4 linked regions of the Macaca fascicularis genome follow. The protein of the gene in region 3 binds, or shares a complex with, the protein of the main gene of each other region. Links are inferred from orthologs where the notes say so. Each region holds a gene or a part of one and is shown on either strand. Other genes may lie near its edges. The genes, in order: AP3B1, AP1B1, ARF1 and IQSEC2.

Region 1 (4,286 bases), on a different chromosome or scaffold from region 3:
AAACTTGAAACTATTTCATCAGAGTAAACCATTAAAAACCAGAGCTGAGGAAACAGGGTGAGCTTCAAGTTTTTTACATAAATTATGTCATTCGATTTTTTTAAAAGGCAAGTAATATTACAGTTTTATAAATGAGAAAATGTGGACTCAAGAGAGATTTAATGACCATTTCCAGAACAGGGGTCTCCTTGTTTCTGTACAATTCCATTAGATTGCAGGTCAACAGCCAAATGTTTCTAATCCCTGGAAGCTTCTCTGGTGGTACTACTTAGAGCTATTTAAAGTTTTAAAGCTTTCGTGAGTTGTATGCGCTCACTAATAAAAATACCATACATTTCATCAAGTAGTAAGTAGACATCGAAACTTTTGAGAGAATGGGCTCTAATATTAGAGCCTCTGAGTTCAAATTCAGGCAGTTCAATGTTCTAGCTTTGCGGCCTTTCCCAAGTTAACGATCACGCTCCAATTTCCTCACGTGTAAAGTGGGAGCAGCTGGTAATAACCTGCAGGGTTGTTAAGAAAACTGAATGAGATAATAAATGTAAAGTGGTGCCACAAACACTCAATAAATATCTTTTGGGGAACACAATTCAACCATGGTTATTTGCATATATTACATACCACCTCTAATCAATTAGCTACTTTTATTTTAAATCCAACCTATTAGGTCACCTCAAGAGCACTGGTCACAGAGTCAATGGCCATAAGTTTTTTGGGTTTTTTTTTCCAAATCAGGTCAAAATTTGACAAAAATCTTTTTCCTTTTTTTTTTCTTTTTTTGAGACGGAGTCTCACTCTGTCACCCACTAAAGTTAGAGTGCTGTGGCGCGATCTCGGCTCACTGCAGCTTCCACCTCCCAGGTTCAAGCGATTCTCCTGCCTCAGCCTCCAGCTGGGATTACAAGCACGAGGCACCACGCCCGGCTAATTTTTGTATTTTTAGTAGAGACGCGGTTTCACCATGTTGGCCAGGCTGGTATCGAACTCCTGGCCTCAAGTGATCCGCCCGCCTTGGCCTCCCAAAGTGCTGAGATTACAGCCGAGAGCTGCCGTGCCTGGCCCCAAATCTGACAAAAATATAAGAGAAAAGCCGGAAAGAGGAGAGTAGCCGAAACAAGCAAAGTGATCGCGATGGGTTTAGGAAGGCGATCTGGCGTGCTAAATGGCGTTTCCGGAGAAATCCGAAAACTATTGCTTTACAGAAGTATACTAAAGAGCTGCCCTGGGTCTGGAAACCCCTTAAGGGATCAAAATGGATGCAATGGGTATCCTTCTCCAATGACACCCCTCACGGGGTGTTCACAAACCATAAAAGTAAATTAATTTGCAAAACAGATTGATGCCAATTTACAGGTTAATTCAGTCTAAACATTTTGCTAACAGTAAAGGCAACAAGCTCCGTACTTGCTCTAGAACAATGGATCACCAAATGCATATAATGAAAAATTATATGAAATGAAAATGAAAAGTTACCTTACTTTTAAACTTTTCTAACCTGGGAAAAAGGAAACGAAAATATTGTATCGTACATACTATCTATATGATTTTGATCCTCAATACAGCCAAAATGTAATCCCAATTTCAAGTAGTAGCACTTTCTAGACTACCCAATATTGTTAGTAACGTTTAATTTAAATTTTAATTATACCCTCTAACATATCTGCAAAGCTACCAGCACAGCTATTCTACCTTAATTTAGCGTGAATTTAGCGACAGACTATTATGTGACCATATTGCTTAGTAATGAAAGATTTAAAATAAGAGAAACGTAAAAATGATAATTGTGGTAAATTTAACCACTACCACCACCCCAATACCACCATCCCACCCCCCAAACAAACAACTTGGGATTTCTTTCCATTTCTCGGTGATACTTTTTACAAAACTAAGTGTATCTTAACATTCGTTTTTAAACTTCACATTATTAATTTGTAAAAGTTTAGGATTTGTTCATAGTAACACTCTTAAAATATTTTCTATTCATATGCTTATTTTGGATTGGTGTTTTTGTCTGTAGTGCAAAGGATATAATCCAAGAACACTGATACTGGTATAAACCAATTTGTCCATTCAAACAGCCTAAACCCACCTCTCTCCTCCTACACTCCGGGGTCACAAAATAACTTCCCACAAGCAACACTCGCACTCTCACCTTGACCAAAACACTCGTTTCACCCTAATCAGGGAATGTATCAAAGTCTGATCCGGCGAACGATAAATAAACTTAGAAGACTATGCTCAAAATTCAGATTCCTGAGCCCAGACCAAGTCCAATTCAATCAGTGTCTTCAGGGGTGGGATCTAAGCTCACCAAGCGGTTTCCTTTTCACTAAAGTTTGAAAACTACTAGAGACCCCTACACACACACGCCCCAAACTCCCCCAACTCCCACCACCGCCAACCAACCCCACCCACCCACCCGTGGGACACGTTACCGCCCAGCTCTGCTCAGATCTCAGGGCGACCCCGCTCCACTCCAGGGAGCCCACCCGGCGCCCACTCCTCCGAGTCCCCAGCTCCTCCCTCCCATCCCCGTACCCCAAACCTTTCTCCTCACTTCTTCAAATCGCTGCTAAAGAGGCCGAAGGCCCCCGAGGGGGAAATGGTTGAGGTCGCCTCCTGACCCAGCTCCGTCGCCTCCCCTCCTCCGGACTGCTCATTGTAAGAAAAACTGTTGCTGGACATTGCCGCGGTGCTGGCGGGTGCGGGGTTGGTCCTGCCGGGGGTTCTCTCCGAAAGGTTCCAGTCCAGAGGGCACCGAACAAAACTAGTTCGCGTACCGAGGAGCGCGCGCAGGCGCTTCCGGACTCGTCACCGCTCCCTGAGCCGACCTAGCAGTCCACCCCCTGCGCATGCGCAGTGTGCGGGAAGGCAGGATACCACCCGGGCCGTCCAGGCCTGCGCGGATTTCCCTGCTCCGGGCTTTAGAGGTAGCTGAGCGGCTGCGAGCCTGGCTGCGGAAAGGGAGGCAGCGGGTGGCGAACTGCCAGGCTCCCGGCCCGTGAGGGGTGTCATTGGAGAAGGATACCCATTGCATCCATTTTGATCCCTTAAGGGGTTTCCAGACCCAGGGCAGCTCTTTAGTATACTTTTGTAAAGCAATAGTTTTCGGATTTCTCCGGAAACGCCATTTAGCACGCCAGATCACCTTTCCTAAACCCATCGCGATCACTTTGCTTGTTTCGGCTACTCTCCTCTTTCCGGCTTTGCCTTACTTTCATATCCACCCGAAACAACTTTTCTCCCAGACTTTAAGGAGGCCTCTCCCAACGATGGTTTGGAGGATCCGCACAGAAGCGACCATTCCATCCTTGCAACGAAAATCTTGGAGGCAGACCGGCGCGGTGGCTCACGCCAGTAGGGCACTTCGGGAAGCCGAGGCGGGCGGATCACTTGAGGCCAAGAGTTCGAGACCAGCCTTGGCAAAATAGCGAGACCCTGTCTCTGCAAAAAATATAAAAATTAGCCGGCGTGGTGGCTCGCGCCTGTGGTCCCAGCTACTGAGCCTGAGGTGGGAGGTTCACTCAAACCCAGGAGGAGGGGGTAGCGATGAGTTGAGATCGCGCCTTTGCACTCCAGCCTGGGCGACAGAGCGAGACCCTGTCTCAAAAAAATTAAAAAGAACAGAAAACATCTTGGGACCACCAGTTCCAGTTTAGAGCTGAAGTGGTGCGTCCTACTGGCGTCTAGCTACCAAAAATAAAATGGACCACCTTGCGCGCCAGGCGCAGCTGTCATCTGACACTTCTGTGTCCTGTCGCCGTCGTGTCACTCACTAATATGCACTAGGGAGCCTAGGCGGGATGCTTGCCTGGCCCCGGAGTAGCTCTCTCCGGGTGCTGGCACCCGAGAAAACCTCTTTCCAGGAGTGACTTCCCCCAGCCCGCCTTCTCGGTTGGGTTTCAGAGCCTTCCCTCTCTTCTCCCCAGTGCCTCCCGTCCAGGTAGGCGTTAACTCCCAAAGCCTTGGCGGCCAGGTACTGAAACTGTCAAGGGATTCTACCAGGTAGAACGCGAACGTGGAGACCGGCAGCCTCTGGGAAGGCGGTGGGGCGTTTTCAAGGATCAAAGTATGATCTCCAAGTTTCAAAAGGTCAGACTGTCACTGTGGAAGCACGCACGAGCGTGGCTCTGGGTGGGAGAAGAAGGAATGTCCTCCAAACTTCATCGTCTGGTTAAATATTGGCAGGTTTTTAATTCGACTGTTAGAATACTGCTCCGGAGATCCAATGATGATCACCTAAAATGTGTTTGTCAATATTAATGATGTTAATTAATAACATTTCA
Region 2 (3,558 bases), on a different chromosome or scaffold from region 3:
GTCCAGCTGCCGCAGCACTCCTCCTCCCTGCTGCAGAATCCCCTGGGGCCGGTGCTTCTGCCCCACCCCTTCCCTGCACACGCAGCCATCTTTCTCAAGTGCAAATCAGACTGGTTCATACCTTTGCTTAAACCTTTCCAAAGCCTCCGGCTGTGCCAGGATCAACAAGAAACGCTCAGCCTGGCCCACCAGCCTCGCCAGCTTCTTCCTTTGCTGATCCCTAGTCTAGCCAGGAGTCTTGGGGGTGTGCCCTAGGTGGCACAGTGGGCATCTTCAGGTGGCATAACATAGTGGGCTGGAGTCAGGGATGCTGGACGTCCTACCATGGGGACAACCACCCCACAACAAGCAACTGTCCTGCATCCTTCCAGTATTTGCTGCATGGTTTCAACATATCCTGAGACTTCCAGGAACACAATTCTCAGGAAAATCAAGGGAAGACTGTTGTTTATCTTACTCCGAACCTTAGTGGGAGTCAGCGACCACTTCAGAAACAAATGGCACCACTGGCCAAACCACTCATGGGGTCCAGGCTACAAACACCCAGACTGTGGTTGCCACAGTCACAGTGACTTTGCCCTGCAGCAAACACCTGGCAACTTCATATCTTCCGGGGTGAGTGGGCAGGCATGCCCAGACGCTTATAACATTGATACATACACTTGTATTCTCTTCCTTTTATGTCTCCTCCATGCAGTGAAAGCATCTGAGTATTTTTGGAATGCTGTGTGTAGGTAGGTTACACAGCCCACCAATTGCATTTAAGGAGAGGAACAGTGACAATGTAAAATGTCGATGATGACTAAGGGGTGCTGGGTCTGATGGCACTGAGAACTACTGCTCCCACCTGACAGGCCTCTGCTGATTCCCTGACAGAGGCCAGGGTCTCCCTTCCCTCCAGGCCTTACCACAGGCTGTTCCCTTGGTCTGGAGCCCCTACCCGCTTCTGTTCAGCTAATGAGGTCCTGTGACTCCTCCGGAAAGCCTGCCTAGGCATCCACCAAGCCTGACTTAGCTCCTTTTCCTCGGTGCCCCCGTGGCCCCCAGCTTCCCTCATCAGCGCTGGCCTGAGCCAATTCCACAGCCGAGGCCATTTAAAGGAGCCCACATGCCAATCTCTATAACTTCTCTCTGCTCCTGCCAAGAGAGAAGACAAGTGACTTACTGCTTTGGGGGCTACATATGATCCTGACAGGGTGCCCACGCCACTGGTTAGGTCAAAGAGGTCACTCAGGCCACTGCCGATGGGTGCTCCAAGACTGGCTGGTACTGCTGCTGTTGGAGGTGCCACGAAATTGGTGCCCCCAATCTGGAAAGGGAGGGAAAGAGTCAGAGGCAGGCATCAAGAGGCAAGGACATCAAGGGCTGGGAATGAGTAGAGCCACCTGGCTCTTTAGAATACACTGGGGGTGGGGGGGCAGGACAGCCTCCATATCAACTCGAAATTACAGAAACAAGACAGAGAGAGGTGGGTGGAGTAGAGAGGCTGAGCCCTCCCGTGCCCTGTAAGCCTTGAGCCTTAGAAGTAACCTCTGGGAAAGGGCTGGGGACACTCCCAAATTGACACTCAGCCCATGGATAAAAGGAGGTCCCAAGACACACGGCTGGGTGGAGACCTGCTATGCAGACGGGTGCTCTCCCTCCAGGACATTAGAGAGGGGTTGTGGGACTGAGGGCTGGCAATCCCTGGGATGACAAGGTGACGCGTCATGGGGTGGTGAGGACTGGGCAAGAATCCATGGCTATGGGGCCTAGTGGTAGCCGAATGCCAGCTGGTCAAGACAGAGACTGCCAGGACGCGGGACCAAGGCAGGGGCTCAGCCGGCGGGGGCTGCTTTGACATCACCCGCCCCTTGGGATGCTGGGCCAGCGCTTTCGGGAGGAGCAAGGATGAAGGCTGGGTGACGCAAGGGTTGAACCATACCCCTTCAGGCTCATCCCCCATCTCCAAGCAGAAGCAGGCAGGTGAAGAGAACAGGCAGCCACATGCAGAGAGAAAAAGCCAGGAAGGAAGACAGAGGAACAAGAGAGAGAAGGGAAAGAGGGAGGAGATTAGTTAACAGTAGCTCCATCCGAGAGGAGAGTGGTGTGAGGCTGTGTTGGGGCCTATGAGAGGCCCAGACCCCGTCTCTATGAAAGGCACTACCCCACACATTTACCCCAGCACCCGTTCTGCACCACAGCCCTTCCTGCCTCACCCTAGCAGCGCTAATTGCCAGTCTCCTGCCCCCATGCTGCCACCGTGCGGACCTGAGTCGAGCACAGTCAAATGAAGAGGCTCAGCCACCCCCAGCACCTGGCCCTGCCAGTTGCCTGAGGAAGCCCCAGGGAGATACCCACGTTAGTCTCACCACTCCCCTCCCTACTGTCTTCCCATTCCCCTCTCTCCCCGGCCTCCCATGCCCTCTCAAATAGGCCTGGCTGGGCTTCTGTTCCCAGCTGGGGCAGCATGAAGCTAAGTGGACACAAGTCTGATTCCTCAAAGCTAGGAACACCCTAGCCTAACAGGGCAAAGGTGACTATGATGCCAGGATCAGGGCAAGGGCTAGGATGGGCCTCCCTGCCCAGGATCTCCTGGGACTCGAAGGTCCAACAAGGGAGTGGAATCCTGTCTGCCACTCAGGGGCTGTGCGACCTTGGAGGGAAGGCTGCCTGGCCTCTCTAAACCTTGGTTTTCTCATCATAAGTAGGGAGCTACACAATCACCTCCGAGGGTAAATGGTAAGAGCTCAATATAATGTACCTGAGGCACTCAGCTGGTGCCTGGCATGGAGGGGCGTTCAGTGACTGCTCCTCTGAGGATCATTATCAACATCATCCAGAGGACACCCATGACATACCAGGCTGTCAAGGCCACCGCCAAGAAGGTCCACAGCTCCCATCTGCACTGAGGAGGTGGTCAGGGGTGGGCCGCTCACTGGGGGGCCGAGGTCCAGGTTGAGGAGGTCACCCAGCAGGTCGCCCTGGGCGGGGATGACATCTGGCTGCTCCCCAGGAGGTGCTCCGGCAGGGGCTGTCTCAGGGCTCTCTGCGCTCTCACTCCTGCCGGGACACAGAAGAGAGAGAAGGTCAGTAGGGCGGAGGCATCAGGATGTCTCAGGAAGGTCAAAGAGACCCCAGCCTCCAGGCGCCTCCCTCAGGACAGGCACTGAGTCTCCTCCCTGTCCCCAACAGCGCTGTCCACACGGCCCCACTGCTTCCCCATTCCCACAGCAGGTCCATCTTTCAGGCCCTCTCTGAGGATGAGTGAAGGGAGAGGGCCGCCTGCTTCTAGCCCTCAGCCCATGCCAAGGAGAAAACTGGAAGCCAGTGCCCTAGGATGGTGCCACCAGGTCACACCAACCACCTGGGAAAAGCAGAGGAGGAGGCACGGACAGGGCTCTGGAATGAGACAGAACCGGTCTGAGTCCCAGCTCTGCTAGTTGTGAGATCCTGGACCAGTCCCTCAAGCTCTCCTTGTCTCTTGTTCCCACCTGAAGAATGGGGACATTTGCTCTCAGAGCTGTTGTTAGGATGGAATGAGGTCATCTAGCAAATACCTCATGTACAATAAATAGC
Region 3 (4,118 bases):
CAAGGACATTATGGCTAATCAGCCAGCCTTACTGTCTTCTCATCCCTGTAGATGGTTGAGTGACAGGACCCTGGGGGAGGACCTGAGAGCCTCTTGGGAACAAAAAACATCCAGGACATGTCTGTCAAGTTGCTAACAAGGTCATCTGACCCACCTGAGAATGTGAAACTACCTTCCAAGACGGTGCTGGGCACCTGCACAGCTGTAAGGTGATAAGTGCAACTATGCCTTAAAGAGTTTATAACAACCACAGGAAAATACGAACCTGAGGATGAGGGCAAATCCTGGAATCCCAACATGAAGGGGCTAAACCTTTTCCAAAAGACCACTTCAGATGCTACAGGCAGGATACCCCTACCAACCAACCACACCAATGAGGAGCAGGCACAACACAGAAAACACAAGTTCTCATAATTTAAGATCCCCACTGCAAGGCCTTTTCCTGTTTCTCTCCCAATTACCTCTGACAGTGCACTCTACTTCCTTTCACCCTCTTGAGTTTACCGAGGTGAAAGGTCAGGGGGAGAGGACAGAATGCCTATGAGAGACAGTATGGGCCTGCCAGCCCAGGCTGGCTGCAGCCTCTTGCTCAAGAGAATGGTCACAGCTCAGGAAGAAGTGTGTACAAAAGCTTGGTGAGCATGGCCTGTGAGTAAGAGCTGGTTTAAATACACCAATGAGACATTTAATTTGAAGAATCTAGAAAAAACTGCTTCAACTCTCTGAAACCACAGTCATATACTTTGCGTGTGAACTTGCACAACAGGTTTTTTTCTCTTAGTTAGGTCTACTTCTATGATCACTGCAGCAGCTGACAGTCCATATTAAATTTTACTGAAGTGAAAAATGAAAGGCCAAATGCATCTTCGAAGCTATGGTTTCAAGCCTGTCCAGTCTGTAGGGGCAGATGAGCAGGTGAAGATGTCTGAATGTCCTCTCCATATTGTGCAAGAGGTACAGCGCATAGCTAGACTACATGATGTACAAAATCAGAACTGTGAGGGGCACAGAACCAGTTTTTGCTTTTCACTCACAGTCATTCTGTGACTCAGCTGTTGTCCAAACCAACTGTTTCAAATCTTTTTCAACTAGCAAATCTGAAAAACTGCCTGACAGGCAACAGCATATTCCTACTGCTGCAATGATTTGGATTTATTTTCAACAAGATACACCTAAAGACAAGTGACAGATATTCTCCGGTCTACCAACATGTGAAAACGTGGACAACACACCTCTAACAATGTGGCCAATCAGATGTGTATACTAACATTTATACTACTCAATTCTTCTCAATTTTGGACCCAGCTAATAGTACGGCATTTCAGGACCTTATGGTTCTGGCTACCTTGGTAGTGCTGGTGAAAATTCAAATTAAATGAGGACATCATCCATGCAGTCACACGTGTTAGACAATGGCTAACGCAAAAGCAGAGGGCCACAGGGGCCGCACACAACCGCACCTCGGCATCTCACACTCCTCCCAACACACTGCGGAAAACGACAGAACCACCAGCCTTGCAACAACCGGCGGCAGAGAAAACTGCTGACCACTAGTTCTGAAACAAGAAATACAACTGCCCACTCCAATAGGGGCAGTGGCACCAACTCTACAGCTCTAAACTAGGCGGCGACTTCGGGGACCATCCAAAGACTCCGACCTCCCTTCTTTTTCTGCCCGCGATTCCGAGCGCATTTCTGCTCAATTCCTGCAAAGCAGCAACTGGCTGCCTGGACGGAAAGGGAGTCCGCCAGGAGGTGCCGTCGGAATGGTTATCTAACACTCTAGGTGCGCACGGCTGTCCAGACCCAATCTCACAAGCCGTAACCACCCAGGCTGTGCCCCGAGAGAGCGCTGGGGCCGGCCTCTGCGGCCTAGAGTCTACGAGCAGGTCGTTCCGCAGGCAAGTTAAAGATTCACCAGCTCAAAAGAGGCCTTCTTATCTACTGCCGACAACGTCAAGGAAACCACCCTGGAGTTAAAGCGAACATCGACCGGCCCTCTGGAAGCCACCGGAGACTTCATACTGACCCCAAATCGCGTCTCACTGTTGTGAAGGGAGGCACTCTGGGCTTCCCCGGAGGTCCACGCATTCCGTTCAGCAGACAGGGAAAGGCGCAGGGTCCCTGTCCACTGCCCGCCCGCTCGCTCTCACCGCCCCTGACCCAGTGCCTTCCTCAGAGGAAACACGAACTGGATGGAGTCGGGAGGCGAAGGTGCAAGCCCCCACCACCTACGTGACCTTGACGGTGTCTTGGGGCCGCCTGAGCCTCAGTTTCCCGGTCCCCGAGGCAGCGGTCCGCCCGGATGCCGCTCGCTAGCCTGTACTCGGGTGGAGGAGGCCCCACAACCCCCACCGGCCCCCGAGACCGCTAACCCCAACTCTCCACGCGCGGGCGGCCTCGGGAAACGTGAGGGGCAGAGGTAAGGGAAGCAGGAAGCCCAGGTTTCCTGGAGAAGAGCCTGGCGTCCCGGCTGACTTCCGGGCGACGGGCGGGGGCAGGGACTGGCAGAGGAGGACAAGGGGCCGCGGGCGACTCCGGGAACCTGTGAGGGGCGCGAGGAGCTCACCGACCCGCCCGCCCTCCCAGCCCCGACTCCCCAGCCTCAGCCCGGCCCGTCCTCGTCCGCCCCCGGCCCGGCCCTGTCGCCGCCGCCGCCGCCGGGATCGAGGTGCCCTTCGCGAACCTCAAGTCGCCCCGAGGCCAGTCCCCAGACCCCGCCGGCTCCAACTTGTGTGCGGCCCACACCGACCCGCGCCCCTCGCCCTCACCTCAGAAGCTGCTGCTTCGAGCCAGGCGTTGGTTTCGCTCCCACAAGATGGCGGCTCTGACGGCGGCCACGTCAGCGCCTGCGGGCGCGGGGAACGTCGGGTAAGAGGCGGAGACGCCGGGAGCTCCGCCCCCCGTGCGCCCGCGACGCAGACGCGCTGGCTCCAGAAGGGCTGCAGGGGGCGGGGCCGGGGACACCCAGCCCCGGGCCGAGGTCCTAGCTCGCGCGCGCCTTAGGGGTGCGCACCCGTCTGCGCCTGCGCCTGTGAGTCTTCCGAAAAGACACCTTGTGGCTGCCACACGCCCGTTTGGCAGATTCGGAGACTGAGGCCCGGGGGGCTGCTGCAGCAACTGGAGCGGCGGGGCCGGGTTGCCACCCTCCTCCTCCCCGACCCGGCAGTCACCGCGAGCCCTCGGGGACCGCGTGAGGACTGGGGTGCGAGGCGCCCCTTCGCTGGGATTGGGGTCCCTGGCTCCCAGGCTGCGCGGGTCCGTGTGCCCCGGCCCTGTGGAAACCTGTGGCACTCGCGGGGCCTCGGCGGAAGGTCCGAAGGAGGGAGGCCTGCTATGTCCCCGCACTGGCCTCGGCGCCCCGGCGGCCGCAGTGACTCGCGCGGGCTCATGCCTGGGCTCATGCCGGGGAGTTGGCTACAGATGAAGCAAAGGAGGAGGTGGCCTGGGGACCCCGGGGGGAGGCCGGGGCTGTGGGGGTGGTGCCCAGAAGGGAGGTCACAGCGGTCTCTAATGAGCTGGCCTTTCAGCTGAGATCCAGTTGAGGCGGAGGAGACCCCGCTCCCAGGAAGCCCTCCTGGATTGGTCAGAAGGGAACAGAGGCCTGGCTCTGCCCACCACCCTCAGGTCTTCTTGCCTCTTCCCTTGTGCAGCTGTGAGGGATTGGGCTTGTGGGAGAGCGTCCGTGCAGCACAGTTCTCTGGGTATTCTGGAGGTCGGGAATCAACCTGATTTGTCCAGGGGGAGGCCCGGGGGCAGGGCCTGAGGGGTGGGGTCACTGGGCCTGGCCCAGGCCTCCTGCGCCCCTTTGCTGCCGCCATCACCTACCTTGCTTGCCCCTTGGGCAGGGCATCCTCACTGCCACTGCAGGCTGCGATAGTCGGAGTTCTCCCCCAGGGCTGCACCTGCGGGGGCTTCGAAGGACCCCAGAAGTGGTGACCCTCCTGCCCCCAAATTCAGTCCCTTTTTCTGCCTGGGGCTCCCCTCTGAAATCTCACCTCTGTGAAGCTGCGGCAGGTTGTCTGTTTAGGGGAAGGATGTCTCCCTCCCACCCTACAGGCATCTCAGATACTCTTGGAAAGCCCCAGGGAGGGGTGTGGATGCCTGTGGAGCCTTCT
Region 4 (3,558 bases), on a different chromosome or scaffold from region 3:
ACATCCCTCAGGTACTGAAACTGGTGTGCGTCCAGCTGTATGCCAGGCACTGGGTATGCCAGGATGAATCAGAATTAGTCCCTGTTCTCAGGGAGCTCACAGCCCAAAGGACCTAAAAAAGTGCTTTGCGTCATCATGCCATCCTGAAATCAAAACATTTCCTTTTATGAGCCACTTGCAGACCGCCTGAGGTGTTTGCAACCTGTGTTAGTTGAGTCCAGAGTGCCCAAGTACTCGACAAAGACGTTGGGTTGTTGAGAGGAAGACTTGTTAACTCTCTACATGGGTTCAGCAGAGATTGCCATTAAGTGCAGGCTCTGGTGAGGCCCGCTGACAGAACCCGACAACCAGACTCCTGCCTTCCAGTCCAGCAGGGGGTGATCACACACTCAGAGGACTAGCATAGCGCCTGACAAGGGAAAGGTACTGAATCATCATTCTGGAGCTCAGAAAAGGGGTTTACAAATCTCTGTGGGATGTTGGAGCAGGCTTCCTGGAGGGAGCAGGATTCAGTTAGTTCCTGGAAATGTGGTAAATGTCTGTGGTGCGTGGTCATTACATCAGGAACTTGCGTTTTCTTCCATGTCTCCCATTCTGTCCCTCAAGCTTCCATTCTCCCCAGCTTGTGGGCATGTGTATTTGTGTGTGTATGTCTGTTAATGGGGTGGGAGGGGAGGGTGGTTACCAGAAATAGGTGCCACGTGGAAATTCCCCACCCAAAACGCTGCCTCTTGTCTTTTTCCCACCCCTGCCAAAGGTCACCAAAATTTTCCAGAAGAAGAAGATCTTGGTGACGTACAGTTTCCGTCAGTCTTTCCCCCTCGTGGAAATGCACATGCAGCTCTTCCAGAATTCATGTGAGTCCCTTCTTGGATCCCAGCTCCCAAGAGTCTATGTCATGGCCCCCATGCTCACCCGTCATCTCTACCAGCTCCAGTTTTTGGAGTCCCTTACAACCAGGCTAAGGGTCTCCGAAGCACCTACTTGGTCCCAGGATGAGGGGCAGGCCAGGGTGGAGTATGACTCGGGTCTAGCCCCTGGTTAGCTCATAGTCTTGCAGAGAACCCCAGTGCATGTGTTCTCTGGTGGGCCAAAGAGATGGTGATCACGCTGTGCTCTGAAGGATGAACCAGGAGGAGCTTTGTTTCATGGTACTCTGGGCAGCAGTAGCAATGTGAGTTGAGGTAGAGGTGAGAAGGAAAGAGTTTCAAGACAGCAGTGCAGAGTTGTATGCCTTTACATGCTGCAGTACAGGAAGTAAGGGGGCCACAGCTACCAGGAGTTTGAGGGCTTTGGGGCACAGGGGAGCTGCTAAATATGCTCAAATGGAGAAGAGGCATGATCAGAGTTAGACAGCAGAAAAATTATTTCATGGGCTAGGTATGGCGGCTCACACCTGTAATCCCAGCACTTTGGGAGGCCAAGGCAGGAGGATTGCTTGAGCCCAGGAATTCGAGACCAACCTGGGCAATATAGTAAGACCCCATCTCTGCTGAAAATAAAAAAATTATCTGCACATATGGTGCGTGCCCATGGTCCCAGCTACTCAGGAGGCTTGAGGCAGAAGGATCACTTGAGCCCAGGAGTTCAAGGCCGCAGTGAGCCATAATGACACCAGTGTACTCCAGCCTGGGTGACAGAGAGATGTTATCTCAGGAAAAAAAGTACAGAAAAGAAAAATTATTTTAGGTATGAGCCACCTCCACCAATCCCAACAGAGGTGCCCAGTCTCCCCTTTCTCCACAGATTACCAGTTTGGGATCAAGTTGCTGTCTGCAGTACCTGGTGGGGAGCGAAAAGTCCTCATCATCTTCAATGCCCCCAGCCTCCAGGACCGGCTGCGCTTTACGTCCGACCTGCGCGAATCCATTGCGGAGGTGCAGGAGATGGAGAAATACCGTGTGGAGTGTGAGTAGCCCAGCCACGTCTCCTCCCCCATCTCCTGAAACAGTACCCTGCAGAAACCAAGAATCCTATCCTCTGAGAATCTCAGAGTTGAGGGTTAGCTTGTCCAACCTTCCCATGCTCATTTCAAGAATTCTTCAGCCTCTGCTTGAATACCTTCAGTGACAAGGGGCTCATCACCTCCCAGCCCCATTATTATCCCAAACTCTAATTATGAGCCAACTATTCCTTCTAGTGAAAGGTATCAGGGAGAAGAATCAGAGTATTAGAGGTAGGACTGTAGTTTTAGGTCCCAGGTATGCTATTCGTTATCTGGGTGAACTGGAGCTAATTGCCTAACCCGCCTAGCCCCAGTTTCTTCCTACACGAATTTGGGGTAATGAAGTCTCCTTCACGGAGTCAAGGAGATGAAATGAGACAAGGTAGCCGAAATGTCCCAACACATCTTAGGCATTCAAAAAGTCTGTATTCCCTGTCCCACTCTCTCTCCTCGTCTGCCCACATATCAATTCCTGAGCTGAGTCCCAGTGGCCTATCCTCTCCAGGGGCCACACCAAGTCATTTTGATCATATATATATAATGGAAAATAGTGATTACATCTCATTCCTCCCGATGCCCTCCAAGTTTTCTCTTCTCCAGGCTAAGCAGTCACAGTTAAGTAACATGGTGTTAAGGAGAAAGAGGCAGGCAGACAGAAAAAGAGAGACGAGGCGGCGGACAGCTCCTTGGTGAGGCCTTCACAGCTCCAGGGCCACTCTACTCCTCAGCGAGGCAGGGATAGAAGTTTCAGTTCACCAGATCCTTTGAGACCCTGGGAAAATCCCGAGAGAGGGATTAGCAGCCCAAGACGAGGGGAGGCCAGTAGACACATGTTTCTGTGAGCTCTGTGGGGAGGTGGGGCTGTAAGGAGGCCGGAAGCACCCAAGCTCTGGAATCAGGCAGACCTGCTTCCAGAATGTCGGCTCCGCCATTTCCAGCTGTATGACCCTGGGCAAGCTCTAAGACTTCTCGGATTCTCAGTTTCCTCCTCTGCACAATGTGGATGCTAATACTGACCTCAGAACTGTTGTGAGGATTGAGAGAGATCAAGTATGTGTAGCACCCAGCATACTGCCTGGCACTTAATAGAGGATTTGATTCCTGTCAGTTTCCTGCTCCTGCCCTTCCAGGAGCCCCTCTGCTCTGGAGCAAGGTATCTGAGAACTGACTGAACTCTGGAAAGATTGCCCTTTGCCATAGGCTAGAAGGGCCTTCCCGTCCTTACTGTGAACCATCTGCCATGAAGCTCTTTTTTGAAGGGCAGGGGTGCTTTGAGAGACCTGACTGCAAGAGGGCATGGGAGGGGAGAAGTCATAAGAGTGAAGGGAAGGGAAATGGAACAGGGAGAGCAGGCACCAAGAGGGATGAAGGGAAGGCTGAGCAGGAAGGGAGGGTGCAAGACGGGAGCTGGGCACTAAGGGTACTTCGGTGATGGAGCTGCAGTTTTGGGGGAGACAAGGGCTGGTCGTCCAAGGGGCAAAACAGGAAGCCTGGGGACAGAGGGAGGGAGGAGGGAGGAGGAAGGAGGACGGAGGGCTAGGGTCAGTCAGATGGGCTCTCACTCCTGTTCCTGACCTTTGCTCCCTGTCTCCCCGACTGCCACCCAGCGGAGC

The links.
Region 1: the proteins of ARF1 (region 3) and AP3B1 are in contact, whole or in part, in a cryo-EM structure (PDB 9C5B), measured with the Homo sapiens proteins. The link is inferred for Macaca fascicularis from reciprocal best matches to the Homo sapiens genes ARF1 and AP3B1. Residues at the interface, in NP_001019397.1 of Homo sapiens: Glu17, Arg19, Tyr35, Ile46, Pro47, Thr48, Ile49, Gly50, Phe51, Asn52, Val53, Glu54, Lys73, Ile74, Leu77, His80, Tyr81, Asn84; in NP_003655.3 of Homo sapiens: Glu52, Asn54, Pro81, Val84, Lys85, Val87, Ala88, Asp111, Leu112, Leu114, Leu115, Ile117, Ser118, Thr119, Gln121, Arg122.
Region 2: the proteins of ARF1 (region 3) and AP1B1 are in contact, whole or in part, in a cryo-EM structure (PDB 7R4H), measured with the Homo sapiens proteins. The link is inferred for Macaca fascicularis from reciprocal best matches to the Homo sapiens genes ARF1 and AP1B1. Residues at the interface, in NP_001019397.1 of Homo sapiens: Glu17, Met18, Tyr35, Ile46, Thr48, Ile49, Gly50, Phe51, Asn52, Val53, Glu54, Thr64, Trp66, Lys73, Leu77, Arg79, His80, Tyr81, Gln83, Asn84; in NP_001118.3 of Homo sapiens: Asn23, Asp25, Pro52, Asp53, Val55, Asn56, Met58, Gln59, Met83, Ile85, Met86, Ala87, Val88, Asn89, Thr90, Val92, Lys93, Tyr121.
Region 4: the proteins of ARF1 (region 3) and IQSEC2 are in contact, whole or in part, in a crystal structure (PDB 6FAE), measured with the Homo sapiens proteins. The link is inferred for Macaca fascicularis from reciprocal best matches to the Homo sapiens genes ARF1 and IQSEC2. Residues at the interface, in NP_001019397.1 of Homo sapiens: Arg19, Gly24, Leu25, Asp26, Ala27, Lys30, Thr31, Ile46, Pro47, Thr48, Ile49, Gly50, Phe51, Asn52, Val53, Glu54, Thr55, Thr64, Trp66, Asp67, Val68, Gly69, Gly70, Gln71, Lys73, Ile74, Pro76, Leu77, Trp78, His80; in NP_001104595.1 of Homo sapiens: Arg810, Gln811, Gln841, Arg845, Val846, Gln847, Gly848, Glu849, Ala850, Gln851, Val853, Glu854, Glu858, Asp879, Phe882, Ile883, Phe886, Ala887, Ile889, Leu890, Asn892, Thr893, Asp894, Tyr896, Ser897, Pro898, Ser899, Val900, Arg904, Met906.

The regions. Positions count from the first base shown.
Region 1 is NC_088380.1:82,260,793-82,265,078, forward strand, and holds the start of AP3B1 (AP-3 complex subunit beta-1), read right to left. Parts: upstream 2,805-4,286; 5' UTR 2,686-2,804; coding exon 2,558-2,685; intron 1-2,557. UniProt on the Homo sapiens protein: Subunit of non-clathrin- and clathrin-associated adaptor protein complex 3 (AP-3) that plays a role in protein sorting in the late-Golgi/trans-Golgi network (TGN) and/or endosomes.
Region 2 is NC_088384.1:22,331,967-22,335,524, reverse strand, and holds part of AP1B1 (AP-1 complex subunit beta-1), read right to left. Parts: intron 3,043-3,558; coding exon 2,841-3,042; intron 1,946-2,840; coding exon 1,925-1,945; intron 1,310-1,924; coding exon 1,166-1,309; intron 1-1,165. UniProt on the Homo sapiens protein: Subunit of clathrin-associated adaptor protein complex 1 that plays a role in protein sorting in the late-Golgi/trans-Golgi network (TGN) and/or endosomes.
Region 3 is NC_088375.1:85,991,714-85,995,831, reverse strand, and holds the start of ARF1 (ADP-ribosylation factor 1), read right to left. Parts: upstream 2,840-4,118; 5' UTR 2,092-2,839; coding exon 2,030-2,091; intron 1-2,029. UniProt on the Homo sapiens protein: Small GTPase involved in protein trafficking between different compartments. Modulates vesicle budding and uncoating within the Golgi complex. In its GTP-bound form, triggers the recruitment of coatomer proteins to the Golgi membrane.
Region 4 is NC_088395.1:53,223,590-53,227,147, reverse strand, and holds part of IQSEC2 (IQ motif and SEC7 domain-containing protein 2), read left to right. Parts: intron 1-757; coding exon 758-857; intron 858-1,746; coding exon 1,747-1,908; intron 1,909-3,552; coding exon 3,553-3,558. UniProt on the Homo sapiens protein: Is a guanine nucleotide exchange factor for the ARF GTP-binding proteins.